4 linked regions of the Saccharomyces cerevisiae S288C genome follow. The gene in region 1 interacts genetically with each later gene. Each region holds a gene or a part of one and is shown in the gene's direction. Other genes may lie near its edges.

Region 1 (8,934 bases):
AATTCTTCAACTCACATCAGTGGGACACTAAATAAAGCATATGGTATGAAATACTATGAATTATTGAATTATTGGCAGACACAGCAGCGACAAGTCAGAGTGCTTACAAAAAAAAAAGAGTTGATCCGGCTAAAGAAAGTCTGATTTACGTATTTATCCAGGTTCAAACGGATTGCCAAAAATAGTCGATAACCTCGGAGTAAGCAAAGCAACAATATATTTGTTCTTCGAAAAGGTAAACTTCTTAACTTCTATAGAAGCATTGTACTAGTTCTCTCGAAGAAAAAAACTAAGAAAGCTATAGCTGTATCTTACCAAGCCATGAACTTGAGGAATTGGTAATCCTTATTAGGAAATACGCTAAACTAGGTAATAGCAGATGATTTACTAGCTTACTATCTCACACTAAGTCTGGCAACGCGCTTATTTTTTAATACTTTTATACGAACCAATGAAATTTGATCCTCCCCTTTTTCGTCTAGTTAAATGAAGAGATACAAGTAGGCCTTTCTATTGAGTACTTAGCAAGATATGTATTTCTAAGAAACATCAACAGTTTCAGCCCACAACCGATTCATAAAATGTCTGCCTGGAGGAAAGCTGGTATATCATATGCTGCATATTTGAATGTGGCCGCTCAGGCTATCCGTTCTTCATTGAAAACTGAATTACAAACCGCTAGTGTTCTTAACAGATCGCAAACAGATGCTTTTTATACCCAATATAAAAATGGCACTGCAGCTTCTGAACCCACTCCAATAACAAAATAGTTTAACGCTTCCTGGGAACTGCAGCTCTTTTTTTACTCGCTGATATACATTTTAAATATTCTAGCAACTGTGTATGAAAACTTACGTACTTTTATACGGGAAACTAATAATGACTACAATGATATTGAATACTGGCCGCTTCGAAGAGTGGTATAAAGTTTGTATCATTGCATTAAAAGAAAAAGAAATATATGTCCCATCATCGCCAATCGCAATGTTGAATGGTCGTTTACCACTTTTGCGGCTGGGCATATGCAGAAACATGCTGTCCCGTCCCCGACTGGCTAAACTGCCATCTATAAGGTTTCGGTCTTTGGTCACCCCTTCTTCATCGCAGCTCATTCCTCTCAGTCGGTTGTGTTTAAGGTCACCTGCAGTTGGAAAATCACTAATTTTACAAAGTTTTAGATGTAATTCATCCAAAACAGTTCCAGAAACTTCTCTGCCTTCAGCCTCTCCCATATCTAAAGGATCAGCAAGGTCGGCACATGCAAAGGAGCAATCTAAAACTGATGACTATAAAGATATAATAAGGTTATTTATGTTGGCGAAACGGGATTGGAAACTGCTTCTTACAGCCATACTTCTTTTAACCATATCATGTTCCATAGGCATGTCTATTCCTAAAGTCATAGGTATTGTCCTTGACACACTTAAGACGTCATCTGGATCAGATTTTTTTGATTTGAAGATACCGATTTTTTCTTTGCCTTTATATGAGTTTCTTTCCTTTTTTACTGTTGCTTTACTGATTGGTTGTGCTGCTAATTTTGGTAGATTTATATTATTGAGGATACTAAGTGAGCGTGTTGTTGCACGCCTAAGGGCAAATGTCATTAAAAAAACGCTTCATCAAGACGCAGAATTCTTCGACAACCATAAAGTTGGGGATTTAATTTCTCGTTTAGGATCTGATGCTTATGTTGTTTCAAGATCAATGACCCAGAAGGTCTCGGATGGGGTCAAAGCCCTAATTTGTGGGGTTGTTGGCGTGGGGATGATGTGTTCTTTGTCACCTCAACTATCAATATTGTTACTATTCTTCACTCCACCTGTTCTTTTTAGTGCCTCAGTGTTCGGGAAGCAAATTAGAAACACCTCTAAAGACCTTCAAGAAGCTACTGGTCAATTGACTAGAGTCGCTGAAGAACAACTCTCTGGTATCAAGACGGTTCAGTCGTTTGTTGCTGAAGGTAATGAATTGTCTAGGTATAACGTTGCAATTAGAGATATTTTTCAGGTGGGAAAAACTGCGGCATTTACAAACGCAAAGTTTTTTACTACAACTAGTCTCTTAGGTGACCTAAGTTTTTTAACCGTCCTTGCGTATGGCTCCTATCTTGTTTTACAATCACAGCTCTCCATTGGTGATCTGACTGCATTTATGCTGTACACAGAATATACGGGGAATGCGGTATTCGGCCTTTCTACCTTCTATTCGGAAATTATGCAGGGTGCTGGGGCCGCTTCCAGGTTGTTTGAATTAACAGATAGGAAACCTTCCATTTCACCGACTGTGGGACACAAGTATAAACCAGATCGTGGTGTTATCGAATTTAAAGATGTTTCATTTAGCTACCCTACAAGGCCTTCTGTTCAAATATTCAAGAATTTAAATTTTAAAATTGCGCCAGGATCGAGTGTTTGTATTGTGGGCCCTTCAGGTCGTGGTAAATCTACAATTGCACTCTTACTGCTAAGATATTATAATCCCACTACTGGGACTATTACGATAGATAACCAAGATATCTCTAAATTGAATTGTAAATCCCTAAGAAGGCATATTGGTATCGTTCAGCAAGAGCCGGTACTGATGTCAGGTACTATTAGGGATAATATCACTTATGGGTTGACATATACCCCAACAAAGGAAGAAATCAGGTCAGTAGCAAAGCAGTGCTTTTGCCATAACTTTATCACAAAATTTCCGAACACATACGATACGGTAATTGGTCCTCACGGCACCTTACTAAGTGGAGGACAAAAGCAGCGTATTGCGATTGCAAGGGCTCTAATCAAAAAGCCAACTATTTTGATTCTTGATGAAGCTACATCAGCTTTAGATGTTGAAAGTGAAGGAGCCATTAACTATACGTTTGGTCAACTAATGAAATCAAAATCGATGACTATTGTTAGCATCGCGCACAGGCTAAGTACGATCAGAAGATCAGAGAATGTTATTGTCCTTGGCCATGATGGATCAGTGGTAGAAATGGGCAAATTCAAAGAATTGTATGCGAATCCAACAAGTGCTTTATCGCAATTACTTAATGAGAAAGCGGCTCCTGGGCCATCTGACCAACAACTGCAAATAGAGAAGGTCATCGAAAAGGAAGATTTGAATGAGAGTAAGGAGCATGATGACCAGAAAAAGGACGATAATGACGATAATGATAATAATCATGATAACGACAGCAATAACCAGTCTCCAGAGACGAAAGACAATAATTCAGATGATATTGAAAAATCTGTCGAACATCTCCTGAAAGACGCGGCAAAGGAGGCTAATCCAATTAAGATCACACCACAACCGTGAGTCATCCGCATCGCATATACCCATTCTTATCTCGCACATTTAAATATATACTATATATAATACTGTTAAATGCCAAATAAAAAGGATTTTCATTACCCGAATCGATACTTTTGGTAGCATAAACAAATAACATTGAAACAATAACAAAGTGTAATGTGGCCGCACGAATCTTTGTCTGTAACAGCCTTAAAGATTTCAGTAGCACTGCCATGGATAATGATGGACCCAGATCTATGACCATTGGGGATGACTTCCAAGAGAACTTTTGTGAACGTTTAGAAAGAATTCACAATACATTACATTCAATAAACGATTGCAACTCATTGAATGAGAGTACCACAAGTATATCAGAGACATTGTTAGTTCAATTTTATGATGATTTGGAGAACGTTGCCTCGGTAATTCCCGACTTAGTCAACAAGAAAAGACTGGGAAAAGACGATATTTTGTTGTTTATGGACTGGTTATTATTGAAAAAATATATGCTATATCAATTTATTAGTGACGTTCATAATATTGAGGAAGGTTTTGCTCATTTGTTGGATTTACTAGAGGATGAATTCTCGAAGGACGATCAGGATAGCGACAAATACAATCGATTTAGCCCGATGTTTGACGTCATAGAAGAATCTACACAAATTAAGACTCAGTTGGAGCCATGGCTTACTAACTTGAAGGAATTATTGGATACGTCATTGGAATTTAACGAAATTTCAAAGGATCATATGGATACATTACATAAAATCATTAATAGCAATATATCGTATTGTCTGGAAATTCAGGAAGAAAGGTTCGCGTCCCCGATACGGCATACTCCATCATTTACCCTAGAACAACTAGTCAAGTTATTAGGAACGCATACGGAGACAACTGAGCCAAAGGTACCAAAATTTTCTCCGGCAGAAGATATTTTATCAAGAAAGTTCTTGAACCTAAAAAAAAATATCCCTCCAATTGAAAAAAGTTTGACTGATATCCTACCTCAAAGAATTGTGCAATTTGGGCACCGGAATATAACAAACATAACTACTTTGCAAACAATCTTGCAAAAAAAATACGAGCTGATAATGAAAGATTATAGATTTATGAATTCAGAGTTTAGGGAATTGAAAGTCGAACTAATCGACAAACGTTGGAATATACTCTTTATTAATTTAAATCATGAACTATTATACATTCTTGATGAGATAGAAAGGTTGCAGTCGAAATTACTGACAACAAAGTATACCAAAGATATCACTATAAGGCTCGAGAGGCAATTGGAGAGAAAATCAAAAACTGTTTCTAAGACATTCAATATTATTTACAGAGCATTGGAATTCTCACTTTTGGACGCTGGCGTCGCATCGAAGACAAATGAATTAGCTCAAAGATGGCTGAATATCAAGCCTACAGCGGATAAAATTCTAATCAAATCCTCCGCTTCAAACAAAATAGCTACTAGCAAGAAGAAGATTCCAAAACCGAAATCATTAGGCTTTGGGCGACCGAATAGTGTTATTGGAACTATAACCCAGGATTTCCAGGAGAGAGTCGCCATTAATGAAGGTGACAGTAATAAAACACCGGAAAATTCAACTACAGTGGCTTTGAAAGGTAAAAAGCTTGGTAAAGCGTTACTGCAGAAGATGAATATTAAACCTGCAACAAGCCCAAATTCATCAAATGCGATTAATCCATTTTTTGATCCGGAGTCGCCAAACAAAGGAAAACTGATACTAAGTAGTGTTCCTCCCTTACCTTATGACGAAACCGATGAAACCACCCTCCGTGTTTCTCGTGGGGAAAATGAAAAGTCACCAGACTCCTTCATTACATCTCGGCATGAAAATAAAGTACAGATTACAGAAACTCCTTTGATGGCAAAGAATAAGTCTGTGCTTGACATCGAAAAAGATAAATGGAATCATTACCGGTCCTTGCCCTCTAGGATCCCTATATACAAGGATAAAGTGGTGAAAGTCACCGTAGAAAACACACCGATAGCAAAGGTTTTCCAGACTCCGCCAACAAAAATCACGACACCTAATAGTCAAGTTTGGGTCCCTTCGACAAGAAGAAGAACCCGATTGAGGCCTCCCACCCCCTTATCACAGTTACTTTCACCAAGAGAAGGGCGTTTAGATAAAACCCCAACTTATTGATACTAACCTAAAACTGTATACTTATACATTTTTATATATCCTCCCTCTCACCCTCTCCATTCATAGAATTTGTAATACTAGTTTAAATAATGTAATATTATGTGTAATTTTAAATAGTCCATGAAGATTCCGCACGTTTTCATTTTACAGTTTTTGACACCTTTACCCGACGCTTTATAAAAAAAATAGTATAAGCATCACGACATAAGCAGCCTCAGGTCATTAAAACAATAAAAGACTGGGAATTATAAACGTACAACGGTAAGGTCATTCACGCAGTGTATATGAATGACTGAAAGTGCTATAGATGACCAAAGGTTTAATCTTACAAAGGAGTTACAACGACACTCATGCAGAGATCAAGGGAAAATAACACAAAAGGATGATGCTTTAGATTTTATAAGTTACAGTTCTTTTCAATCCTCTTTTAATACTGACCAAAAAAGCGCGAACAATGGAAGTACTGTGAGAAGAAGCATAAGGTCGATTTTTAGAAGAGCAGCCGAATTGCCTAGAGTCCATATGGGGCCTCTTACTTATTCACATGGGATAAATGAGCTTGTTAACAAGAAATTAAGAAAAGACTGTGATCTCAGCACGCTATGTCGCGTATTGCAAAGAGGAATCAGGATGATTAGGATGACAAGAAGAAGAAGGAAGTTCTATGAATTTAAATTAATCAATAACAACGGGCAAATAATATGGAAAGATGGTTCGAAGTATCTGGAATTAGACTCCGTTAAAGACATCAGAATCGGTGATACGGCGAGTACTTATCAAGAGGAAGTAGATCCGAAAAGATTGAGATCGGACAGTAAACTTTGGATTGCTATTATTTATAAGGTTTCCAACAAATTGAAAGCGTTACACGTAGTTGCTTTGAATGAATTGGACTTTAACACATTCTTAAGCTGCATTTGCGGTTTAGTGAAGTTAAGGAGGGAATTAATGGAAAGCATACTTTTGCCTGATAATTCGCAATTCGCTAGGATACATTGGCAAATTACTGTTTCTGAAAAAGAGGAAGATGAGAAAAAGGACACATTGAGCTTTGCAGATGTGAAGAAACTATGTGATAAATTTCATATTTATGTGTCAACTGGTCAATTGTTAGAGTTTTTCCAATTAGCAGACATCAATCATAACGGACTATTAAATTATTTTGAATTTGAAAAGTTCATTAAAATCTTAAAGAATAGGAAAGAGGTAAATATGATTTGGTCTAAATTTACAAAACCTCCACACTCCCACTTATCATTTGAAAATTTTTTTCAATTTTTAATTACAGAGCAGCATGAGCAAGTGGATCGTCAAACTGCATGGTCATATTTTATTAAGTACAGAGAACCGACTCAGCTGACGATGGGGCAAGATGGTTTTACCAAGTTCTTGAAGGAGCAACCATATTTGGTGGAGGTTAAAGAGGAGTTATATTCAAAGCCATTAAACCATTATTTTATTGCATCTTCACATAATACTTATTTATTGGGGAAACAAATTGCAGAAACTCCATCTGTGGAGGGATATATTCAAGTCCTACAACAAGGTTGTAGGTGCGTAGAAATTGATATATGGGATGGTGAAAATGGGCCAGTGGTATGCCATGGATTTTTAACGTCAGCTATTCCCTTAAAAACAGTTATACGCGTGATAAAGAAGTACGCTTTTATAACGTCTCCGTATCCTTTGATTATTTCACTGGAAATAAACTGTAACAAGGATAATCAAAAATTGGCAAGCCTGATAATGAGAGAGGTTTTAGCAGAACAGCTGTACTTTGTTGGCACAAGAACTGATAAACTGCCATCACCAAGGGAATTAAAACATAAAATACTGTTGAAATCCAAGAAGACGAGTGAAGCAACTAGAGGTCTTAGCGTTAATGAGCCATTTCCATCTTCTTTTAGTTCTTCTTACGAATCAGCTAATGAACAGGAATTAAGAATGAAAGATGACTCCACGAACAGTAGTAGCGCAACAAATTCTTCTAGTATGCAACGCATCAAAAGAATTGGATTAAAAAAGCACGCTGATATAATTAATGATGTTTCTAACATTTCTGGAATACATGGCATCAAGTTCAGGAATTTCTCTTTACCAGAGTCCAAAACGATAGCGCATTGTTTTTCACTGAATGAGCGCAAAGTAGAATACATGATAAAAGACAAACACTTAAAATTATCGTTGGATAAACATAATAGAAGATATTTGATGAGAGTCTATCCTCACGTTTTACGATACAAATCATCAAATTTTAACCCAATACCTTTTTGGAAGGCCGGTGTACAAATGGTGGCTACGAATTGGCAAACTAATGATATTGGACAGCAACTTAATCTGGCAATGTTTCAAATATTAGATCACCAACCTGATGGAAGTTTTAAATCAGGATACGTGCTAAAACCAAAAAAGTTGCTACCTGTAGTAACAAAGGCGAAAATGATTCCATTAATTTACGAACATTTTGAAAATGGTAGTGATCCTGTTACTGTTAAAATTCGAATTTTATCTACACAGTTATTGCCCAGATTGAATGATACATCGCCAAGCAGAAATAACACCAATTCCTTTGTTAAAGTGGAGTTTCATACCGATGACGAGCCGACAATGCCCATCTCAATCGATAAGGGTACAAGGATTTCTGCCACTGAAGCATCCACTAAGAGTTCTCAAGGGAATGGATTCAACCCAATATGGGATGCTGAAGTTTCTATCACATTGAAAGATACAGACCTCACATTTATAAAATTCATGGTTATCTCTGAAGAGACCCAGATTGCATCTGTTTGCCTTAAGCTGAACTATTTGAGGATGGGATATCGTCACATTCCGTTGTTTAACATGGAGGGGGAACAATACATATTTTGCACTTTATTTATTCATACACAAATTTTATAGGCGATCTTTTTCCGGCCAAATACACATATTCATAAATACGTACATATACCTACTTGCATATACCAACATGATTACCTAGAATGGATATATCAAATGGGACGACGAAGTACCACGACAATACACAATAACAACTTCTGTTTTTCGCTGATTGCCTTCTCTTCAGCAGAAAGTTGATGCATATTTCGCGTAGCGCGTTGACGCGTCTTCTTTCTGAAGTTTTGTGCTTTTGTTATCATACTATATAAAGTAAAAAGAAAGGAGAACATATTAAGCATTACTGAATTAGGATCCTTTGGAAGAAATAAAGTAAGAGACACTGAAAGATGATATCACCATCAAAAAAGAGAACCATTTTATCAAGCAAGAATATAAACCAAAAACCACGAGCAGTGGTAAAAGGCAATGAACTTCGTTCACCATCAAAGAGAAGGTCACAAATAGACACAGACTATGCACTAAGGCGAAGTCCAATAAAGACAATCCAAATTTCTAAAGCTGCACAATTTATGCTGTATGAGGAAACGGCTGAAGAAAGAAACATAGCTGTCCACAGACATAATGAAATATACAATAATAACAATTCTGT
Region 2 (8,765 bases), 230 kb from region 1:
TAGGAGAAGACGGTAACCTTTTATTGAATGACATTTCCACTAATGGGACCTGGTTAAATGGGCAAAAAGTCGAGAAGAACAGCAATCAGTTACTGTCTCAAGGTGATGAAATAACCGTTGGTGTAGGCGTGGAATCAGATATTTTATCTCTGGTCATTTTCATAAACGACAAATTTAAGCAGTGCCTCGAGCAGAACAAAGTTGATCGCATAAGATCTAACCTGAAAAATACCTCTAAAATAGCTTCTCCTGGTCTTACATCATCTACTGCATCATCAATGGTGGCCAACAAGACTGGTATTTTTAAGGATTTTTCGATTATTGACGAAGTGGTGGGCCAGGGTGCATTTGCCACAGTAAAGAAAGCCATTGAAAGAACTACTGGGAAAACATTCGCGGTGAAGATTATAAGTAAACGCAAAGTAATAGGCAATATGGATGGTGTGACAAGAGAGTTAGAAGTATTGCAAAAGCTCAATCATCCAAGGATAGTACGATTGAAAGGATTTTATGAAGATACTGAGAGTTATTATATGGTGATGGAGTTCGTTTCTGGTGGTGACTTAATGGATTTTGTTGCTGCTCATGGTGCGGTTGGAGAAGATGCTGGGAGGGAGATATCCAGGCAGATACTCACAGCAATAAAATACATTCACTCTATGGGCATCAGCCATCGTGACCTAAAGCCCGATAATATTCTTATTGAACAAGACGATCCTGTATTGGTAAAGATAACCGACTTTGGTCTGGCAAAAGTACAAGGAAATGGGTCTTTTATGAAAACCTTCTGTGGCACTTTGGCATATGTGGCACCTGAAGTCATCAGAGGTAAAGATACATCCGTATCTCCTGATGAATACGAAGAAAGGAATGAGTACTCTTCGTTAGTGGATATGTGGTCAATGGGATGTCTTGTGTATGTTATCCTAACGGGCCACTTACCTTTTAGTGGTAGCACACAGGACCAATTATATAAACAGATTGGAAGAGGCTCATATCATGAAGGGCCCCTCAAAGATTTCCGGATATCTGAAGAAGCAAGAGATTTCATAGATTCATTGTTACAGGTGGATCCAAATAATAGGTCGACAGCTGCAAAAGCCTTGAATCATCCCTGGATCAAGATGAGTCCATTGGGCTCACAATCATATGGTGATTTTTCACAAATATCCTTATCACAATCGTTGTCGCAGCAGAAATTATTAGAAAATATGGACGATGCTCAATACGAATTTGTCAAAGCGCAAAGGAAATTACAAATGGAGCAACAACTTCAAGAACAGGATCAGGAAGACCAAGATGGAAAAATTCAAGGATTTAAAATACCCGCACACGCCCCTATTCGATATACACAGCCCAAAAGCATTGAAGCAGAAACTAGAGAACAAAAACTTTTACATTCCAATAATACTGAGAATGTCAAGAGCTCAAAGAAAAAGGGTAATGGTAGGTTTTTAACTTTAAAACCATTGCCTGACAGCATTATTCAAGAAAGCCTGGAGATTCAGCAAGGTGTGAATCCATTTTTCATTGGTAGATCCGAGGATTGCAATTGTAAAATTGAAGACAATAGGTTGTCTCGAGTTCATTGCTTCATTTTCAAAAAGAGGCATGCTGTAGGCAAAAGCATGTATGAATCTCCGGCACAAGGTTTAGATGATATTTGGTATTGCCACACCGGAACTAACGTGAGCTATTTAAATAATAACCGCATGATACAGGGTACGAAATTCCTTTTACAAGACGGAGATGAAATCAAGATCATTTGGGATAAAAACAATAAATTTGTCATTGGCTTTAAAGTGGAAATTAACGATACTACAGGTCTGTTTAACGAGGGATTAGGTATGTTACAAGAACAAAGAGTAGTACTTAAGCAAACAGCCGAAGAAAAAGATTTGGTGAAAAAGTTAACCCAGATGATGGCAGCTCAACGTGCAAATCAACCCTCGGCTTCTTCTTCATCAATGTCGGCTAAGAAGCCGCCAGTTAGCGATACAAATAATAACGGCAATAATTCGGTACTAAACGACTTGGTAGAGTCACCGATTAATGCGAATACGGGGAACATTTTGAAGAGAATACATTCGGTAAGTTTATCGCAATCACAAATTGATCCTAGTAAGAAGGTTAAAAGGGCAAAATTGGACCAAACCTCAAAAGGCCCCGAGAATTTGCAATTTTCGTAACCAAGGACAAATACCCATAGAAAATGCTGCCCCTTTTTAAGAGAGAAGATGGTAGATACCAATACTCAGAATTCATCTATTCATAACTTTTTGGGTTTTTATTACATATAGAGTGACGTTTTGATACGATTTACATTTTGAAATATATAGATTTTTGTATATTAATAAGTTTTGATTTTCAGTTTTAGTTATGCTTAATGAATTTTTGAATCAGAAAAAGAAGTTCTGAAAAAAACATAATCCTGCTTGATGTGGTACAACAAGCTCATAAATAATTTTAAAAAGTTTGTTAATCCGTTTTCAATATCTTGAGCTCCTCAATTGTATTTGCTGAGGTCTGATTATTTCTATAACCAAAAGCGGTTATTGAATCTATGGAGAGGCTGTAACCCGTCTTATGCCTTCCGGGTACTATATTTCATTTGCGGGTGTCGATGGATTAAGGGGCGGAGGCGGCCCTTTTTAGGATTTATATAAAAAGCCATACTTCCGTACTTCGTAACCTCTTATCAACTGGTTAAGGGAACAGAGTAAAGAAGTTTGGGTAATTCGCTGCTATTTATTCATTCCACCTTCTTCTTTTTTGAGCGAAGCCTTTATAATCAAATTTTAGTGGTCTTTTCTATTTTTATTTGAGAAGCCTACCACGTAAGGGAAGAATAACAAAAAGTATATCTCACCCTACTGTATTCATAAAAAGTTTTTTCTATTAGAATTCTATAAGAAAAGAAAAAAAAAAAGCCTAGTGACCTAGTATTTAATCCAAATAAAATTCAAACAAAAACCAAAACTAACATGTTCAGCTTGAAAGCATTATTGCCATTGGCCTTGTTGTTGGTCAGCGCCAACCAAGTTGCTGCAAAAGTCCACAAGGCTAAAATTTATAAACACGAGTTGTCCGATGAGATGAAAGAAGTCACTTTCGAGCAACATTTAGCTCATTTAGGCCAAAAGTACTTGACTCAATTTGAGAAAGCTAACCCCGAAGTTGTTTTTTCTAGGGAGCATCCTTTCTTCACTGAAGGTGGTCACGATGTTCCATTGACAAATTACTTGAACGCACAATATTACACTGACATTACTTTGGGTACTCCACCTCAAAACTTCAAGGTTATTTTGGATACTGGTTCTTCAAACCTTTGGGTTCCAAGTAACGAATGTGGTTCCTTGGCTTGTTTCCTACATTCTAAATACGATCATGAAGCTTCATCAAGCTACAAAGCTAATGGTACTGAATTTGCCATTCAATATGGTACTGGTTCTTTGGAAGGTTACATTTCTCAAGACACTTTGTCCATCGGGGATTTGACCATTCCAAAACAAGACTTCGCTGAGGCTACCAGCGAGCCGGGCTTAACATTTGCATTTGGCAAGTTCGATGGTATTTTGGGTTTGGGTTACGATACCATTTCTGTTGATAAGGTGGTCCCTCCATTTTACAACGCCATTCAACAAGATTTGTTGGACGAAAAGAGATTTGCCTTTTATTTGGGAGACACTTCAAAGGATACTGAAAATGGCGGTGAAGCCACCTTTGGTGGTATTGACGAGTCTAAGTTCAAGGGCGATATCACTTGGTTACCTGTTCGTCGTAAGGCTTACTGGGAAGTCAAGTTTGAAGGTATCGGTTTAGGCGACGAGTACGCCGAATTGGAGAGCCATGGTGCCGCCATCGATACTGGTACTTCTTTGATTACCTTGCCATCAGGATTAGCTGAAATGATTAATGCTGAAATTGGGGCCAAGAAGGGTTGGACCGGTCAATATACTCTAGACTGTAACACCAGAGACAATCTACCTGATCTAATTTTCAACTTCAATGGCTACAACTTCACTATTGGGCCATACGATTACACGCTTGAAGTTTCAGGCTCCTGTATCTCTGCAATTACACCAATGGATTTCCCAGAACCTGTTGGCCCACTGGCCATCGTTGGTGATGCCTTCTTGCGTAAATACTATTCTATTTACGATTTGGGCAACAATGCGGTTGGTTTGGCCAAAGCAATTTGAGCTAAACTTTTCTTACTTCTCCGCCCTATCCTTTTCTGCCATCTAGAGAGCTTTTATAAGTAGATAACAATAAAAAAAACTATAGTATATTTAAAAAAAAAAAACAAGACAAACCATCTTGTCCTCAGTTTTAGAATCCATTGTTCTATGCTGCTGCCCATAATGTCATTATATGCGGGTAGCCCGATGATGCGGCTCGAGAATTTCCTTGTTTATCCTTTTCCAATAGCGGAACAATTGATAATAAAGCAATGTAAGCAGAAGCGAAAAATAAAAAGAAATAGGCTGCAGAGATTCACAGGCTGCGCTCTAGAAACATTTGAAATCAAGGCAAACATAGAACACTTGATAAAATTCTTACCATAATACCACCATTGATGATTCAAAAAATGAGCCCAAGCTTAAGGAGGCCATCAACGAGGTCTAGTTCTGGTTCAAGTAATATCCCACAATCGCCCTCTGTACGATCAACTTCATCGTTTTCTAATCTGACAAGAAACTCCATACGGAGCACCTCTAATTCGGGTTCTCAGTCGATTTCTGCATCTTCCACTAGAAGTAACTCCCCACTAAGATCCGTATCAGCCAAATCCGATCCCTTCCTTCACCCAGGTAGGATAAGGATCAGGCGGAGCGACAGTATTAACAACAACTCGAGAAAAAACGATACATATACTGGGTCAATCACTGTGACCATCCGGCCGAAACCACGGAGCGTTGGAACTTCCCGTGACCATGTGGGGCTAAAATCGCCCAGGTACTCTCAACCAAGATCCAACTCACATCACGGTAGCAATACATTTGTTAGAGACCCCTGGTTTATTACTAATGACAAAACAATAGTGCATGAAGAAATTGGAGAGTTCAAGTTCGATCATGTTTTTGCTTCCCATTGCACTAATTTGGAAGTTTATGAAAGAACCAGTAAACCAATGATTGATAAGTTATTGATGGGGTTTAATGCCACCATATTTGCGTACGGTATGACCGGGTCAGGTAAAACGTTTACAATGAGCGGAAATGAACAAGAGCTAGGCCTAATTCCTTTATCTGTGTCGTATTTATTTACCAATATCATGGAACAATCAATGAATGGCGATAAAAAGTTCGACGTTATAATATCGTACCTCGAAATTTACAATGAAAGGATTTACGACCTGTTAGAAAGCGGATTAGAAGAATCCGGTAGTAGAATCAGTACTCCTTCAAGGTTATATATGAGCAAGAGCAACAGCAATGGATTGGGCGTAGAATTAAAAATCAGAGATGACTCTCAGTATGGGGTCAAAGTTATCGGTCTCACCGAAAGAAGATGTGAAAGTAGTGAAGAATTATTGAGGTGGATTGCAGTTGGTGACAAAAGTAGGAAAATTGGCGAAACTGACTACAATGCAAGAAGCTCACGATCTCATGCCATTGTACTGATTCGTTTAACAAGTACTAACGTAAAGAACGGCACCTCAAGATCGAGTACATTGTCGTTGTGTGACCTAGCAGGTTCGGAAAGGGCTACGGGGCAACAAGAGAGGAGAAAGGAAGGTTCATTCATCAACAAATCCTTACTTGCTTTGGGGACTGTGATATCCAAACTCAGTGCCGACAAGATGAACTCAGTAGGCTCAAACATTCCCTCGCCATCTGCAAGTGGCAGTAGCAGCAGTAGTGGAAATGCTACCAATAACGGCACTAGCCCAAGCAACCACATTCCATATCGTGATTCTAAATTGACTAGATTATTGCAGCCGGCACTAAGCGGTGACAGCATAGTGACAACGATATGTACAGTCGACACCAGAAATGATGCGGCAGCGGAAACTATGAATACGCTGAGGTTTGCATCAAGAGCGAAAAACGTCGCACTTCATGTATCCAAAAAATCCATCATCAGTAACGGGAATAACGATGGAGATAAAGATCGCACCATTGAGCTACTGAGACGCCAATTGGAAGAACAACGTAGGATGATCTCTGAATTGAAGAACCGTTCAAACATTGGCGAGCCCTTAACCAAATCTTCCAATGAAAGTACTTATAAAGACATTAAAGCCACCGGCAATGATGGTGATCCGAATTTGGCTCTAATGAGAGCGGAGAATCGAGTATTAAAATATAAACTAGAGAATTGTGAAAAACTACTAGATAAAGATGTGGTTGATTTGCAAGATTCTGAGATTATGGAAATTGTAGAAATGCTTCCCTTTGAGGTCGGCACCCTTTTGGAAACAAAGTTCCAAGGTTTGGAATCACAAATAAGGCAATATAGGAAATACACTCAAAAACTTGAAGACAAGATCATGGCGCTAGAAAAAAGTGGTCATACTGCAATGTCGCTAACTGGGTGTGACGGCACTGAAGTGATCGAATTACAGAAGATGCTCGAGAGGAAGGATAAAATGATTGAGGCCCTGCAGAGTGCCAAACGACTGCGGGATAGGGCTTTGAAACCACTCATTAATACACAGCAATCACCGCACCCTGTCGTGGATAACGATAAATGATTAGGTGAGGGTCCCAGATCTCGGGTGCTTTTTTCCTTGTGCGGATTGTTCTGTAGACTGCGCCTCCGCTTGCCCGGCGCTTGCCTTGAACGGGATCTATTCTCAGAAGACAGCGCATAAAAGGCAGTTTTTAGGCACTTCTCGTTAAGAAAATACACAAATAATGGATTTACGAAGTTCGTTTCAGTGTGGTACCAAAAAATTTGGCATCAGCTAATAAAGATCAAGAAGTTTTGGGGTTGTTTCGAGTCTGTCTCGGCCTTAATTGTGCAGGTACTAAAGGGATTAATATATAAAGATTGTTAAGGCCAAGTGACTGAAACTTGCAAACGTCTTTGAATCAGGCTTATCTCTTAAATACTTATATATATGTTCTTTTATAGACTTCATAATCTCTTGTTCCAAGAACAGTAAAGAGCAATTAAAAAAAGGAAAATAACAGTTAAAGATGATAGCGGATTCATCAGTTTTGAAAAAGCACACAGCAATCAAGAGAAGTACGAGAATAATATCGCTAACACTCGTTTTGCTTGGCGTATTTAGCTTCTTACTACTTACATGGAATGACTCCTTGGAATTCTACAACTCTGCTGACCCTAGCGAAAACAAAAAAAATAGTGAGGAAGAAAGTGAAAAGAAGTTCGTTTACAAGTTGCCAAACTTATTAAAGACAGCAGACAGTTTTCTAAGTAATGAAAATGAACTAAATTTCCAAAAAGTCAAAGAAGAAATTTCAAATATTCAAAGCGAGGTTGAAGTCGACATCCCAGAACCCTCATCCAAAGCTACATCAAAATTTTCTTCAAGATCGTTCCAAACTGATAATGTCGTGACGGCGACGACCACAACAACACTAAATCCACGGTCATCTTCTCTGGCCTTGCAGAAAAACTGCGATCACAAAAAATTCGACCCTAGAACAGATTTTCTAGATATAATAAGAACCTCTCCAGCGGTATTATTCATTAAATCATCACAAGCAGACTCCATTTTCTTAAAAAATCTATTACAAAGAGAATTTGAGATTTCACCCGAATTGGCCACTGTTGATTTGGAAAAACACTCTCATGGCTATGAATTAGAAAAGTATATCAAACAAAATAAACTAAATATCGATACTAGTGCTGCCTTGGAATCCATTCAGTCGCCTTATTTATTTTTGAATGGTATTTCCGTGATAAATCGTGGAATGGTGAGAGATATAATCGAACCTCATTCGAAGGGATTGCTACTACCTCTTCTAAAGTCTGAAGCGCGTGGCAACTTGCTGGTAGAAAAAAAAGACATCCCTTCTAATTCTTAATTTGTTATCACTCCTATCGACGAGCAGCCGCAGCTAAAAGAACGTTTTAATTATTCCCAAATTCACGTAAGCGATCCTCTTTATGTGCTATATATACATTCATAACATAGTCATTGCATTTTCTATCATACGATTCAACTTGAACAAGTGTTTAACCATTTACGTCGTAAATGTCTACAGTATTATCTTTGGTCGTTGTTGTGGATTCATGCTTTTTTCTTTTCGAGAGCTCTTCGTTTTCAGAACTCAGCTCTTCCTTTTCGGACGACTCCCTTCGACTATTCTCCGTACTTGCTGGTTCGTAGTTAAAAAAGCATTCCCCCCACATGCAAAATATTCCTTTCATATATCCATTCTCCTTTACATATAATACTTTACATTTGGCAAATGGACCTAGTACTTTCCTCGTAGCTCGAGAAAGCTGGTTCAAATCAGAGTTCCTTGGCAAAAACATAATCACATTAGGGCTTAGTTTAAGAAAACTTTTCAACATCTTGGTAATCCCCATAGGCTTTAGATGTTGCTCTAAGTCATACACATCGTTTCTTAAGTATTCTGGACCACCCCACGGGGGTGATCCAAATACACAGTCGTACTTTATTTTGGAAAGTTTCTGCTTAGAGACTAGCTTTTTCCAGGATCCCCGCTTCAGCCATATTCTGTCGTCCACACCGTAGCTTTGGGCGTTTTTCGCAGTACAATATATGTGTTCAATACTGTAGTCCACTCCATAGACGTAAGGAAATTGCATGGCAAATTGTA
Region 3 (8,089 bases), on another chromosome or scaffold:
CTGTCAATCTAGGCTCGTAATCCTGAATAACTGTATATGTCTTCCCTAATTGGACGCTAGCCTCCCCATTATATTTGGAGTTTGGAGTAAGCGGCAATGGTTTAGAACGTGACAAATGTTGTAAATGCTGATACATTTTACTTTGTCTTCTTTTTTTCCTTTTCTTTAGTGGTTTTGATGGGGTGGGTATTATCAACTCGTGTTTCTCAGTGCTTTTATTGCAGTCATGATGATCATTGAAGTTGGTTTCCAAAGTTTGTTGTGCAGTAGTACCGTATATCACTGAATGGGGTCTTGCCGTGATTAGATCGATGTTATTGTTGCGATAAGATGTGATTTGTGAATCTGGCGTGGTATTACCCAAGTTATTCACACTGTCATTTGCATCCAGAGGCGTGTTATTATACTCCAAGATGGGCGATCGTTCGTCAGGCATTATATCTGACTCATTGAAGTAACCCTTACTTATCCGGGAGAGCATTTTCATTTGCTTCAGTTGTGGAGCCCCAGTTGGGGTCTTTAAAGAGGTCTTTGATAAGCCATAATCCTTAAAGTATGTAGAACCCCTCAAGAACCATCGAGATAGTGGAGATTCGTAACTCCATTTCTCACTCGTTTTTAACGCAGTTTTCTTTGAGGACACCGTTTTTTGAGAAGGTAAATCATTATACGAGGGCATGCTGGATTCAATATGGACAATATTCGGTGGTTTAGTATACAGGAATGCATCCACAACTTTCTCTTCCTCCATTTCGTTCACTTTGGGGTCTAACGAAATGTTTTTACCAGACCAAGCATATGGGTTCTTCACCGTTTTCTTAGGTGTCAGTATATGCTGCGGTATTATGGGTTTGGAAATTTTGTACTGTATTTTTGAAGACATGTTATCACCCGAGGTCCACTGGGTGTCGTTATACTTCTCAATATCACGATTAGAATATGAATTCTGATCCTCACACTTACTCTGCCAAAATAACCGTGAGAACCAATTAGTGCGGCGACAATATTCCTCTTCCCTTGGAATCGTAGCTGACATGGGTGGATTTGAAATGGACACCGAATTCCTTTTAAGGTAGAAATAACACAAAAGGATAAGTAATCCGAAACAGAATATTCCGATGGGAAGTCCGATTGAAAGCCCAATTGTGCTTGCTGAAGATGATTTTGGCTGAGCCGCCACATTAGAAAAGAGTAGATTAGACGGTGTAGAGCGTATTGATGTCGCTATTGTCGTTACTGTTGTTACACTCGTCGAGGAACTAGCTTGCGAAGATATGTAATTTGATGCTAAGGTAGTAGACATTGCGGCGACTGTCGTCAGCACAGTTGTTGTCGTCTGCATTATTGTTGCTACCATTTTGATTTTCAGAAACTTGATGGCTTATATCCTGCTCTTAAAGGAAAAAAGATAAAGGATGTCGTATCCAAATATTTTAAGAGCAACACATACCTTACAAAGCCACTCTTACATTGTCATTTAAATAAAACCAATCCCGAGAATTACGTTATTTGTTTCAAATTACAGACGTTTCATGTTTGTTTCATCATCGCACCAAAATGAGACAGCGCGAAAAGTGACAGTGCAATTATGCCATTCAATACGTCAAAAAGGGCATCCTGCAGAGATACAACTCTGTTTTGAAAGGGTCCACATGGTAAATATGGAAGCAAAAGAAGGATTGAGGCATCACTGACAACAAAATTGTCTTGCAGCCCAATTAATAAAAAAAAATAAAGTTATATATATAAACAAATACGTAAACAAAGGATAGAAGGCGAACTGAATCATCGTTCAGTAGCGGTTCTGGTTGCCGTTATTGTTCTGTTGAGAAAAGTTGCCAGAAAAATTGAAGGATTCGTGCTGTCCATTGGAGTTCTGGTTTCCGCCGTATTGCGGTCTTCCGTACTCATTGGATTGCTGTTGACCATTCTGTTGCGGTCTACCATACTCATTAGCCTGTTGCTGGCCCCCATAACTCGAATTTGAATTGGAGTTATTGCCCAGGTAGGAACTTGCCATGGAAGCCAAAGCTGAGAATGAACTGGAGTGGCCTTGTTGCTGCTGCTGACCCTGTTGTTGATGCTGATAGTTTTGGCCTTGTTGCTGGTATTGCTGCTGGTTGTTTTGGCCTTGTTGATTGTATTGCTGTTGGTTGGATTGAGTTTGTCCACCACCTAAGTAAGATTGAGCCATGGAGGCCAATGAGGAAAAAGCACCACCAGATTGTCCCTGTTGTTGTTGGTAACCACCGTTGCCACCTTGGTACTGTTGATTATTGTAACCTTGACTATTTTGGTTACCGTTTTGATAGGATTGGTTATAGCCCTGTTGACTATTGTTGGAGTTCTGATTATTATTGGAATGCATAAAAGAGCTTGCCATAGAAGCCAGTGCTCCAAAGGAGGAACCACCGGAGCTTTGATTTTGACCTTGCTGATTATTGTTGTTGGAATTCATGAAAGATGAAGCCAAAGACGCCAAAGCAGTAAAAGAACCTTGACCTTGACCTTGTCCTTGACCTTGACCTTGACCTTGACCTTGTCCCTGACCTTGGGAATTGTTACCTGACTTAAAGAATTGAGAAGCCAAGGCAGCCAGGCCGGAAGCACCCATACTTTGGCTCCCGCCGCCAGAACCACTTAGCATTGACATGACAGTCCCTACGTCAAACCCTCTGTTAGAAGAACCTTTATTTGATGAGTGTGTCATCACTGTGGCTAACAAAGCTAGTTTTCCTAGTTGCGTTTGGGAAGAACCCTTAGAGTCTGCCATTAAAGTGTTCATAAAAGATGAACCACCACCAGCAGCACGATCTTGCGAGGCGTCACTACCACCACTACGGTTGTCCATGACGTATCCTGCGATTTTTTGAATTAATGATTCAATAGTTGACATTTGCTCGTCATTGGGGTTCGACTGAGCTGCGGATGTCAACTTCGCAACAGCTTCTGCATGGTTTCCTTGAGAAAAATGAGACTCAGCCTCTGAGATTAACTTATCCGTATCCATTTCAGATCTTTGCTATACGTTTGTATCGCTATATGTACGTTCTTTTAATGAACTTTCTCCTTTCTTTATCGTGTAGCTTGCTTGGGTATCTTTTAATGAGTTGCGGACAGTGAGATTTTTCAGAAGGGCAATTGGCCAAGACACCAAAAACGTTTGGACGAGACAGGCATCAAAGGACAAGGTAAAAGGCGTTGAGCTGTGGCTGGCTGTGTATGCGTTTGAAATACCATGGATAGATATCAAAGAAAGATAGGATGTTTCATACAAATCCCAAATTTGGGGCGCGGACAACTGAAATACGTGGGTCCAGTGGACACGAAAGCTGGAATGTTTGCTGGTGTAGACTTACTTGCCAACATTGGTAAGAACGATGGATCATTCATGGGGAAGAAGTATTTTCAAACGGAGTATCCTCAAAGTGGACTATTTATTCAGTTGCAAAAAGTCGCATCATTGATCGAGAAGGCATCGATATCGCAAACCTCGAGAAGAACGACAATGGAACCGCTATCAATACCCAAAAACAGATCTATTGTGAGGCTCACTAACCAGTTCTCTCCCATGGATGATCCTAAATCCCCCACACCCATGAGAAGTTTCCGGATCACCAGTCGGCACAGCGGTAATCAACAGTCGATGGACCAGGAGGCATCGGATCACCATCAACAGCAAGAATTTGGTTACGATAACAGAGAAGACAGAATGGAGGTCGACTCTATCCTGTCATCAGACAGAAAGGCTAATCACAACACCACCAGCGATTGGAAACCGGACAATGGCCACATGAATGACCTCAATAGCAGCGAAGTTACAATTGAATTACGAGAAGCCCAATTGACCATCGAAAAGCTACAAAGGAAACAACTACACTACAAAAGGCTACTCGATGACCAAAGAATGGTCCTCGAAGAAGTGCAACCGACTTTTGATAGGTATGAAGCCACAATACAAGAAAGAGAGAAAGAGATAGACCATCTCAAGCAACAATTGGAGCTCGAACGCAGACAGCAAGCCAAACAAAAGCAGTTTTTTGACGCTGAGAATGAACAGCTACTTGCTGTCGTAAGCCAACTACACGAAGAGATCAAAGAAAACGAAGAGAGAAATCTTTCTCATAATCAACCCACTGGTGCCAACGAAGATGTCGAACTCCTGAAAAAACAGCTGGAACAATTACGCAACATAGAAGACCAATTTGAGTTACACAAGACAAAGTGGGCTAAAGAACGCGAACAATTGAAAATGCATAACGATTCGCTCAGTAAAGAATACCAAAATTTGAGCAAGGAACTATTTTTGACAAAACCACAAGATTCCTCATCGGAAGAGGTGGCATCCTTAACGAAAAAACTTGAAGAGGCTAATGAAAAAATCAAACAGTTGGAACAGGCTCAAGCACAAACAGCCGTGGAATCGTTGCCAATTTTCGACCCCCCTGCACCAGTCGATACCACGGCAGGAAGACAACAGTGGTGTGAGCATTGCGATACGATGGGTCATAATACAGCAGAATGCCCCCATCACAATCCTGACAACCAGCAGTTCTTCTAGGCAGTCGAACTGACTCTAATAGTGACTCCGGTAAATTAGTTAATTAATTGCTAAACCCATGCACAGTGACTCACGTTTTTTTATCAGTCATTCGATATAGAAGGTAAGAAAAGGATATGACTATGAACAGTAGTATACTGTGTATATAATAGATATGGAACGTTATATTCACCTCCGATGTGTGTTGTACATACATAAAAATATCATAGCACAACTGCGCTGTGTAATAGTAATACAATAGTTTACAAAATTTTTTTTCTGAATAATGGTTTTGCCGATTCTACCGTTAATTGATGATCTGGCCTCATGGAATAGTAAGAAGGAATACGTTTCACTTGTTGGTCAGGTACTTTTGGATGGCTCGAGCCTGAGTAATGAAGAGATTCTCCAGTTCTCCAAAGAGGAAGAAGTTCCATTGGTGGCTTTGTCCTTGCCAAGTGGTAAATTCAGCGATGATGAAATCATTGCCTTCTTGAACAACGGAGTTTCTTCTCTGTTCATTGCTAGCCAAGATGCTAAAACAGCCGAACACTTGGTTGAACAATTGAATGTACCAAAGGAGCGTGTTGTTGTGGAAGAGAACGGTGTTTTCTCCAATCAATTCATGGTAAAACAAAAATTCTCGCAAGATAAAATTGTGTCCATAAAGAAATTAAGCAAGGATATGTTGACCAAAGAAGTGCTTGGTGAAGTACGTACAGACCGTCCTGACGGTTTATATACCACCCTAGTTGTCGACCAATATGAGCGTTGTCTAGGGTTGGTGTATTCTTCGAAGAAATCTATAGCAAAGGCCATCGATTTGGGTCGTGGCGTTTATTATTCTCGTTCTAGGAATGAAATCTGGATCAAGGGTGAAACTTCTGGCAATGGCCAAAAGCTTTTACAAATCTCTACTGACTGTGATTCGGATGCCTTAAAGTTTATCGTTGAACAAGAAAACGTTGGATTTTGCCACTTGGAGACCATGTCTTGCTTTGGTGAATTCAAGCATGGTTTGGTGGGGCTAGAATCTTTACTAAAACAAAGGCTACAGGACGCTCCAGAGGAATCTTATACTAGAAGACTATTCAACGACTCTGCATTGTTAGATGCCAAGATCAAGGAAGAAGCTGAAGAACTGACTGAGGCAAAGGGTAAGAAGGAGCTTTCTTGGGAGGCTGCCGATTTGTTCTACTTTGCACTGGCCAAATTAGTGGCCAACGATGTTTCATTGAAGGACGTCGAGAATAATCTGAATATGAAGCATCTGAAGGTTACAAGACGGAAAGGTGATGCTAAGCCAAAGTTTGTTGGACAACCAAAGGCTGAAGAAGAAAAACTGACCGGTCCAATTCACTTGGACGTGGTGAAGGCTTCCGACAAAGTTGGTGTGCAGAAGGCTTTGAGCAGACCAATCCAAAAGACTTCTGAAATTATGCATTTAGTCAATCCGATCATCGAAAATGTTAGAGACAAAGGTAACTCTGCCCTTTTGGAGTACACAGAAAAGTTTGATGGTGTAAAATTATCCAATCCTGTTCTTAATGCTCCATTCCCAGAAGAATACTTTGAAGGTTTAACCGAGGAAATGAAGGAAGCTTTGGACCTTTCAATTGAAAACGTCCGCAAATTCCATGCTGCTCAATTGCCAACAGAGACTCTTGAAGTTGAAACCCAACCTGGTGTCTTGTGTTCCAGATTCCCTCGTCCTATTGAAAAAGTTGGTTTGTATATCCCTGGTGGCACTGCCATTTTACCAAGTACTGCATTAATGCTTGGTGTTCCAGCACAAGTTGCCCAATGTAAGGAGATTGTGTTTGCATCTCCACCAAGAAAATCTGATGGTAAAGTTTCACCCGAAGTTGTTTATGTCGCAGAAAAAGTTGGCGCTTCCAAGATTGTTCTAGCTGGTGGTGCCCAAGCCGTTGCTGCTATGGCTTACGGGACAGAAACTATTCCTAAAGTGGATAAGATCTTGGGTCCAGGTAATCAATTTGTGACTGCCGCCAAAATGTATGTTCAAAATGACACTCAAGCTCTATGTTCCATTGATATGCCAGCTGGCCCAAGTGAAGTTTTGGTTATTGCCGATGAAGATGCCGATGTGGATTTTGTTGCAAGTGATTTGCTATCGCAAGCTGAACACGGTATTGACTCCCAAGTTATCCTTGTTGGTGTTAACTTGAGCGAAAAGAAAATTCAAGAGATTCAAGATGCTGTCCACAATCAAGCTTTACAACTGCCACGTGTGGATATTGTTCGTAAATGTATTGCTCACAGTACGATCGTTCTTTGTGACGGTTACGAAGAAGCCCTTGAAATGTCCAACCAATATGCACCAGAACATTTGATTCTACAAATCGCCAATGCTAACGATTATGTTAAATTGGTTGACAATGCAGGGTCCGTATTTGTGGGTGCTTACACTCCAGAATCGTGCGGTGACTATTCAAGTGGTACTAACCATACATTACCAACCTATGGTTACGCTAGGCAGTACAGTGGTGCCAACACTGCAACCTTCCAAAAGTTTATCACTGCCCAAAACATTACCCCTGAAGGTTTAGAAAACATCGGTAGAGCTGTTATGTGCGTTGCCAAGAAGGAGGGTCTAGACGGTCACAGAAACGCTGTGAAAATCAGAATGAGTAAGCTTGGGTTGATCCCAAAGGATTTCCAGTAGATTATTTCTAACTTGGAAACCGAACACTAACGAAAATAATATGTATATATACATATATATATCAAACAAAATACAGTCTTGAATGAATAGAGATACACTATGTAATGAATGGTAACGTAAAAATTGTAATTTTGGATTAAAAGAGAGGTAGTAGCAAGAGTGGGTATCAAATAGCGATTAATAAATGAATATCCTTATTGTCATCACTTCGAACGACGTAAGTTAAATTGGAAAATTTTTCACTTTTTGGTCACCTAAGAAATAAGCAGGAAAAAGAAGAGAACATTGAGAGGATGGTAAAGCAAGAGGCATTTAGGGCGAACGAACTAGGTAACAGATAACAACCTCAGATAGAGTGTTACGGGATGGGTATTGAAGACATTAGCGCCATGAAGAACGGGTTTATAGTGGTGCCGTTCAAATTACCGGATCACAAGGCACTACCCAAAAGCCAGGAAGCTTCGTTGCATTTCATGTTTGCTAAAAGACACCAGAGTTCAAATTCCAACGAGTCTGACTGTTTGTTTTTGGTCAACCTTCCATTATTATCTAACATAGAGCACATGAAGAAATTTGTCGGGCAGCTCTGTGGGAAATACGATACAGTATCGCATGTAGAGGAACTACTATATAACGATGAATTTGGATTACATGAAGTAGATTTATCGGCATTGACCTCCGATCTGATGTCCTCCACTGACGTCAACGAGAAGAGATACACACCAAGAAACACGGCGCTATTAAAATTTGTTGATGCTGCAAGTATAAATAACTGCTGGAATGCTTTGAAAAAATACTCGAATTTGCATGCCAAACATCCAAATGAACTATTTGAATGGACATATACGACTCCATCATTCACA
Region 4 (7,771 bases), on another chromosome or scaffold:
AGAAGATCACTCACAAATATTCTTTATCGTGGGACAATAAGTTTTGGAAACAACTGAAAACGCTAACCTCATCTACCATGACTTCTATCAAGTACTACTGGGGCGGCCCTGATGATAATCACCAAAGAAAGCATTTATGGGAGGAAAGAATAGAGAAAGTGAATGACCTGAAAATGTGGCTTGAAGAAAATAATAATACTTTTGTGGTTATAAGGGGGCCTAGAGGTTCAGGGAAACATGATTTGGTCATGCAACACACTTTGCAAAATAGAGCAAATGTTTTGTATTTGGATTGTGATAAATTGATTAAGTCCAGAACAGATCCTATGTTTTTAAAAAATGCCGCTAGTCAATTGGGTTATTTCCCAATATTCCCATGGATTGACTCTGTCACAGGTGTCCTTGATTTAACAGTGCAAGGATTAACAGGGCAAAAAACTGGGTTGTCTGAGACGAAGGAATCTCGGTTTAGAAACATGTTAACTACCTCATTGATGTCCATTAGACGTATTGCTCTCAAGAATTACAAGGCTTTTGTTTCCACCGGTGATGGGACAGTTAATGTTAAGGAAGAAGATTACCTACAGCAACATCCGGAAGCTAAACCCGTTATCGTCATAGATAGGTTTGAGGGCAAGTCGGAAATAAATGGATTTGTGTATAAGGAACTATCCGATTGGGCAGCTATGCTAGTTCAAATGAATATTGCTCATGTGATTTTCTTAACGGAAACCGTTGCATCCAACCAAAGATTGAGCGAATCACTACCCAATCAAGTCTTCAAAAACCTAATCCTATCAGATGCCTCAAAAGAGAATTCGAGGAACTATGTATTATCCCAATTGGAGGATTACTTATATTACAATAAAAAATCCAAGGGTGAAAACGTAAAAGAACCTGAATCAGAAAAGGAAACTGCTGAAAATAATGATTCTGATAGTGAGGCCGATACGAGTGTCAAAAAAGCTGAGGTTATTTTAAATGAAAAGGAATTACAGGAAATTGACGCTTCTTTAGAGCCATTGGGTGGTAGGATGTTAGACTTACAGGCATTTGTAAGAAGGGTAAAGTCAGGAGAAGAGCCCTCGGAAGCAGTAGACAAAATGATTGAACAGGCTTCTGAGCAAATAACTCAAATGTTTTTAAGTGACAAGATTGACAGCAATAAAAGTGCACAAGCCTGGGAATTAATCGAATTATTGAGTGCGAACCCAGTCATTCCATTCCATGAAATCGTTAACAAGCCATTATTCAAAGCCGCACCAGAAACGGGAATCATGGAATTGGAGAATAATGGTTTAATAACTGTATCTAGAGATAGGGGTGTTTTACAGGAAATCAGGCCTGCCAAACCGCTATACAGGGCAGCATTCACATACTTGATCAACGATCCTGAACTCGCAAAAGTGCTAAAAACCCGTTACTTATTAAAGGTTGTGGGTTTTGAAACTGGTAGAATCAAGAAATGGGAAGAAGAATTAAAACCTTTGGGGAAAGTTCCTGATCAGAAACTTTTCAAGACCAGATTGGACTATTTATCCGGTAAAATCAATGCCAGTAATGCAGTCATTACCAAATGTGAAGAAGAAATTAAAAACCTATCTAAGTGATGAAACAAAACTTACTATTCTGCTTTTCTGTACATATGTGTAAACCCTATATTGCTATACTCATCTATATTCTTTTGAAAATGTATAAAAGTGACGATTGGAGATGGTGCAATTTTCTACGCAGCATGAAAAATATCTAAGGAAGGTAAGGTACATACCAAGTAAGTCTTATAATATGTTGTTGTACCTCACTTTACCATTCTTAAAGTCTTTAAAAGAAATTACCTTACCCAATTTGCACAGCAAAGGTCACTGACCTATACGTGCCCTTCATCAGATTACATCACGTGAAATTTCACTGGGAAAGAGCGCGAGGGCTTTCCGATGACTTTCTACATTAATAATCGCAAACAAAGCAATCAGCACAGCAAAGAGTACAATTTCGAAAATTGCGACAGAGCAACGTAAGTATATCGTTGTTGATAGATTCCACTCCAACCTGCAAATGCTGCTTCTTCCAAGATGTCCTGTAATTGGGCGAATTGTAAGATCAAAATTTAGATCTGGTCTAATCCGGAACCATTCGCCCGTTATATTTACTGTGTCTAAGTTATCAACCCAGCGGCCTCTGTTATTCAATTCAGCTGTGAATTTATGGAATCAAGCACAAAAGGATATTACGCACAAAAAATCCGTCGAGCAATTCTCGTCGGCTCCAAAAGTGAAGACTCAGGTAAAAAAGACCAGCAAGGCCCCAACCCTCTCGGAACTGAAAATCTTGAAAGATCTATTTCGCTATATTTGGCCCAAAGGCAACAATAAAGTGAGGATAAGGGTACTGATTGCCCTTGGACTGTTGATATCCGCCAAAATTTTAAATGTTCAAGTACCTTTTTTTTTCAAGCAAACTATTGATTCAATGAATATAGCATGGGATGATCCTACAGTCGCCCTTCCGGCAGCGATTGGATTAACCATTCTTTGCTATGGTGTTGCAAGGTTCGGCTCTGTTTTATTCGGCGAACTGAGGAACGCCGTATTTGCCAAAGTGGCACAGAATGCCATTAGAACTGTGTCGCTACAAACTTTCCAGCACCTTATGAAGTTAGATTTGGGATGGCACTTGAGTAGACAAACGGGTGGTCTGACGAGGGCCATGGATAGAGGTACAAAGGGTATATCTCAAGTGTTAACGGCCATGGTATTCCACATTATCCCTATAAGTTTTGAAATATCTGTCGTTTGTGGGATTTTGACGTATCAATTCGGTGCGTCATTTGCCGCAATAACATTCAGTACAATGCTTTTATACTCCATTTTCACTATAAAGACGACCGCATGGAGGACACATTTTAGAAGGGATGCTAACAAGGCCGATAACAAAGCTGCCAGTGTGGCTTTAGATTCTTTAATTAATTTTGAGGCGGTAAAATACTTCAACAATGAAAAATATCTTGCAGATAAGTATAATGGCTCCTTGATGAACTATCGTGACTCTCAAATTAAAGTATCGCAATCTCTAGCATTTTTGAACTCCGGCCAAAATCTAATTTTTACTACTGCCCTAACTGCAATGATGTATATGGGTTGCACCGGCGTTATTGGTGGCAACTTGACAGTTGGTGACTTGGTTCTAATTAATCAGTTGGTTTTTCAACTATCAGTACCGCTAAATTTTCTTGGTAGTGTTTACAGAGATTTAAAGCAGTCTCTGATTGATATGGAAACGCTATTTAAGTTAAGAAAAAATGAAGTCAAGATTAAAAATGCCGAACGTCCCTTAATGCTTCCAGAAAATGTTCCCTACGATATTACTTTTGAGAACGTCACGTTTGGATATCATCCCGATAGGAAAATTTTAAAGAATGCCAGCTTTACCATCCCAGCAGGCTGGAAAACCGCAATAGTTGGGTCTTCGGGCAGTGGGAAGTCCACCATTTTAAAATTAGTCTTTAGATTTTATGATCCTGAAAGCGGAAGGATCCTCATAAACGGTAGAGATATTAAAGAATATGACATCGATGCCTTGAGGAAGGTGATTGGTGTGGTACCACAGGACACACCACTTTTCAATGACACTATCTGGGAAAATGTAAAGTTCGGTCGTATTGACGCAACCGACGAGGAAGTGATAACTGTAGTTGAAAAAGCCCAGCTAGCACCCTTAATCAAGAAATTACCACAAGGTTTTGACACCATCGTCGGGGAGCGAGGGTTGATGATCAGCGGTGGTGAAAAGCAAAGGCTGGCAATTGCAAGGGTACTATTGAAGAATGCAAGGATCATGTTTTTTGACGAGGCCACAAGCGCCTTGGACACACACACAGAACAAGCTCTCTTACGAACCATTAGAGATAACTTTACTTCGGGTTCGAGAACGAGTGTATACATCGCACATAGACTGAGGACAATTGCAGATGCAGACAAGATCATAGTCCTTGACAACGGAAGAGTAAGAGAGGAAGGTAAGCATCTTGAACTGTTGGCTATGCCAGGGTCATTGTACCGCGAACTTTGGACCATACAAGAAGATCTGGATCATTTAGAGAATGAACTAAAAGACCAGCAAGAACTATGAACGCTCGTAAGTAAATATTGATTTATACATGTATAAGTTTTTCAAGATTTAAGGAAAAAAGAAAAGTTATTATCTTTCTCCGCGGTTTTTCAATGACCCGATGTATTGACTCTTCCTGACCGAAAATAACAGGACAGAGTTAGAACGAACATGAATAATAAAATATAATCTGGGATCATGAATCCGAATGACTGCTCATGCGGCAAATGTCAGAGCTTCGGTGTATTTAAAGTTTGCTTACTTACAATTTCAATAATAGGTTTGTACTTTTCAGATTCTTATTATTAAGTCAAGGTAAAGTCCTTCGTTTTTTTTTTTTTCATTTTAGAAAAATTTCAACAGCCACCGTACAATTTTATTCACTTTTAAGTCATAGTTGCGAAGACATCGTCTTGAAAGTAGTAGATTTCGTTCTAATAAGTTTAGCAAAGAAAGAGGTACAGCAAACAGCAGAATAGAAAAAATGTGTGGTATTTTAGGTATTGTATTAGCAAACCAAACCACTCCAGTAGCTCCGGAGTTATGTGATGGATGCATTTTTCTACAACATCGTGGACAAGATGCAGCTGGTATAGCTACCTGTGGTTCTCGTGGTAGAATCTACCAATGTAAAGGTAATGGTATGGCTCGTGACGTATTTACCCAACAACGTGTTTCCGGTCTTGCTGGTTCCATGGGTATTGCCCACTTGAGATATCCTACAGCCGGGTCTTCGGCTAATTCAGAAGCGCAACCATTTTACGTCAATAGTCCTTACGGTATTAACTTGGCACATAACGGTAACTTGGTGAATACTGCATCATTGAAGAGATATATGGATGAAGACGTTCATAGACATATTAACACGGACAGTGATTCGGAGTTACTATTGAATATTTTTGCTGCTGAACTGGAAAAACATAACAAGTACAGAGTTAACAATGAAGATGTTTTCCACGCGTTAGAAGGTGTTTACCGTTTATGCCGTGGCGGTTATGCTTGCGTTGGTTTACTTGCCGGTTTTGCATTATTTGGTTTCAGAGATCCAAATGGTATTAGGCCATTATTGTTCGGTGAAAGAGAAAATCCGGACGGCACTAAGGACTATATGTTAGCTTCAGAAAGTGTTGTTTTCAAAGCTCACAACTTTACTAAATATCGTGACTTAAAGCCTGGCGAGGCAGTTATCATCCCTAAGAACTGTAGCAAAGGTGAACCTGAGTTCAAACAAGTGGTTCCTATTAACTCTTATAGACCTGATTTATTTGAATACGTATATTTCGCCAGACCGGACAGTGTCTTGGATGGAATATCAGTTTATCACACAAGATTGGCTATGGGTTCTAAATTAGCGGAAAATATTCTAAAGCAACTGAAGCCAGAAGATATTGATGTTGTTATTCCCGTCCCAGATACTGCAAGAACATGTGCACTAGAATGTGCTAATGTGTTAGGGAAGCCTTATAGAGAGGGCTTTGTTAAAAACAGATACGTGGGCAGGACATTTATCATGCCAAACCAGAGGGAAAGGGTTTCTTCAGTAAGGAGGAAGCTTAACCCTATGGAGTCTGAATTTAAGGGTAAGAAGGTTCTGATAGTGGATGATTCTATTGTCAGAGGTACTACTTCAAAAGAGATTGTTAACATGGCCAAGGAATCCGGTGCAACAAAGGTTTACTTCGCTTCAGCTGCCCCAGCCATTCGTTACAACCATATTTATGGTATTGACTTAACAGACACAAAGAACTTGATTGCTTATAACAGAACCGATGAAGAAGTGGCGGAAGTAATCGGTTGTGAAAGAGTCATTTACCAATCATTGGAAGATTTGATTGATTGTTGTAAAACTGATAAAATAACCAAATTCGAAGATGGTGTATTTACCGGAAATTATGTCACTGGTGTTGAAGACGGTTATATTCAAGAATTGGAAGAAAAACGTGAATCGATCGCAAATAATTCATCAGATATGAAGGCTGAAGTCGATATCGGATTATATAATTGTGCAGATTATTGATAGATTGTTCCGAACTTGTTCAGTTGTATGTAAAATAGTTTCCAAATGCGCCCATTTATACATAATTATCTTTGTATTCTGACCTAAACTAAATATATATATATATATGCACGTATTAAAAAAAAAAATAAAAGCAAAAAGGTAAACAAAGAGAAGTAATCCGCAACTTGTACAAAAAGAAAAGAAGATAAAAGAATTGTATGTATTAATGGATAATTGTAATGCCTGGGACAAATTATTGTCTCAGAATGAATCCACAATCAACAGCACAGAGACTGCTACGATAACAGCAATCATATATTCCCCATCAAGTAAAACACTGCATCAATTTATAAATATCTGTTTTCCAGAGGGAAGCAATTCAATACTGGATACCACTTTGATTAATTACGCCACCATAGGATGGACCAACGACTTAAAGGAAAATTATTCTGTCGATGTTTACACGCTAATAAGAAACACTGACGATGCACTAGATCTTCTAAAGCCGTTTTTACAAGAACATAGTTCGAAGGTTCGCTGGCTCATATTATTAGATTGGACACTGAACGACCAAAAGTTGTGGCTGAATGAACTATCCTACGCATTCAATAAAATTAAGCAACTGAATGACGATAATGAATTTTCTGTATGGTGCTTAAACAGTGGCGAAATATTAAACTTACAAAGACACACTACAGTATGGCAGTCAGTACATATTGACTTCATTTTGCAAACGTTAAGATCGTTTTGCTATTTTAATGATAGCTCACTATTCTATATATGCGAAGACCATACCGAAGAGAAACGAGAGGAAGCACAAAGGCTTAAATACCAAGAGCTTCTAAAGCATTTTTGTGAAGATAGAGATATGAAAGATCATATTGAAATGGTCAAACGCAGTGAGATATTAATACCGAAGGGGTGCGATTCTATTGGATTGATAAAAACAGTAGACGAAAGATTTGAGCCTACTGAGGTGAAAGAGCAACACTTTTTGGCCCGATATATGGACTTTATACCAACAATTGATAAAATCAGAGAAGATAGGAAAACAACCTCTGGTATCGACCTTGATAAACTATATCCTTTAGAAGTTTTCAAAGTTAATATTCAAGAGGAATTAGGCAAAATGTTCGCAAAATATAGGGAAAATTCGAGGATTTAGGAAAGTGGGCAGGCGATACTTCTTTTATCATGAGCAATTTTTTTCTCTTTATATGTATAAATATAGATATGCACACGCATTTATAAATCCCTATATCAGGGTTGGATTTCTTCTATGTTTATGTATGTAAAAGAAAGAATTCACATGTGATAAATTGTGGAATCAGCACATAGTTCTTGAACCAGCTCAGAGTCTGTGTCGTACCCGACATAAGCTACGTAGCCAGGTTCACCTTTATCTTCGTGAATTGGGTAGTGGACGGGTGGAACATTATCATTCTCGATGATACAGAACGAGAGATGTTCATCATTTGGTTCATAATCTCTAGTGATTCTCTTTACTATAGTTTTATATTCGCCTCTTTTGTCACAACTTGGCCCACCACGTGCCCAAAGCTTGATTACTGAGCCAGACTGGGGTTCTTTGATTGGGGTACAATGGAACCATTCATAGTTAATTCTTGTACCATACTTGAAGTATTCAACCGCAGCGATCAGCAA

The links.
Region 2: mutations in KAR9 (region 1) and KIP2 are lethal when combined (synthetic lethality), as found in Saccharomyces cerevisiae (5 studies listed by BioGRID, with this or other methods).
Region 3: mutations in KAR9 (region 1) and BIK1 are lethal when combined (synthetic lethality), as found in Saccharomyces cerevisiae (7 studies listed by BioGRID, with this or other methods).
Region 4: mutations in KAR9 (region 1) and DYN3 impair growth when combined (synthetic growth defect), as found in Saccharomyces cerevisiae (4 studies listed by BioGRID, with this or other methods).

The regions. Positions count from the first base shown.
Region 1 is NC_001148.4:29,498-38,431, forward strand, and holds KAR9 (Kar9p), read left to right. Parts: upstream 1-3,515; coding exon 3,516-5,450; downstream 5,451-8,934. Other genes in the region: ATP15 (F1F0 ATP synthase subunit epsilon), read left to right, coding at 582-770; ATP-binding cassette permease MDL2, read left to right, coding at 985-3,306; PLC1 (phosphatidylinositol phospholipase C), read left to right, coding at 5,739-8,348; ACM1 (Acm1p), read left to right, coding at 8,672-8,934. UniProt on the Saccharomyces cerevisiae protein: Involved in karyogamy. Component of a cortical adaptor complex that orients cytoplasmic microtubules. It may be involved in anchoring cytoplasmic microtubules to the cell cortex.
Region 2 is NC_001148.4:255,151-263,915, reverse strand, and holds KIP2 (Kip2p), read left to right. Parts: upstream 1-4,579; coding exon 4,580-6,700; downstream 6,701-8,765. Other genes in the region: serine/threonine/tyrosine protein kinase RAD53, read left to right, coding at 1-2,189; PEP4 (proteinase A), read left to right, coding at 2,985-4,202; pheromone-regulated protein PRM4, read left to right, coding at 7,149-8,003; TGS1 (RNA methyltransferase), read right to left, coding at 8,155-8,765. UniProt on the Saccharomyces cerevisiae protein: Required for assembly of the mitotic spindle.
Region 3 is NC_001135.5:65,071-73,159, reverse strand, and holds BIK1 (Bik1p), read left to right. Parts: upstream 1-3,238; coding exon 3,239-4,561; downstream 4,562-8,089. Other genes in the region: FUS1 (Fus1p), read right to left, coding at 1-1,357; prion domain-containing protein RNQ1, read right to left, coding at 1,793-3,010; HIS4 (trifunctional histidinol dehydrogenase/phosphoribosyl-AMP cyclohydrolase/phosphoribosyl-ATP diphosphatase), read left to right, coding at 4,827-7,226; RRP7 (Rrp7p), read left to right, coding at 7,592-8,089. UniProt on the Saccharomyces cerevisiae protein: Required for nuclear fusion, chromosome disjunction, and nuclear segregation during mitosis. Probably required for the formation or stabilization of microtubules during mitosis and for spindle pole body fusion during conjugation.
Region 4 is NC_001145.3:863,912-871,682, reverse strand, and holds DYN3 (dynein light intermediate chain), read left to right. Parts: upstream 1-6,332; coding exon 6,333-7,271; downstream 7,272-7,771. Other genes in the region: YME2 (Yme2p), read left to right, coding at 1-1,610; ATP-binding cassette Fe/S cluster precursor transporter ATM1, read left to right, coding at 2,056-4,128; ADE4 (amidophosphoribosyltransferase), read left to right, coding at 4,592-6,124; sphingosine N-acyltransferase subunit LIP1, read right to left, coding at 7,412-7,771. UniProt on the Saccharomyces cerevisiae protein: Component of the cytoplasmic dynein which acts as a motor for the intracellular retrograde motility of vesicles and organelles along microtubules. May play an important role in the proper orientation of the mitotic spindle into the budding daughter cell yeast.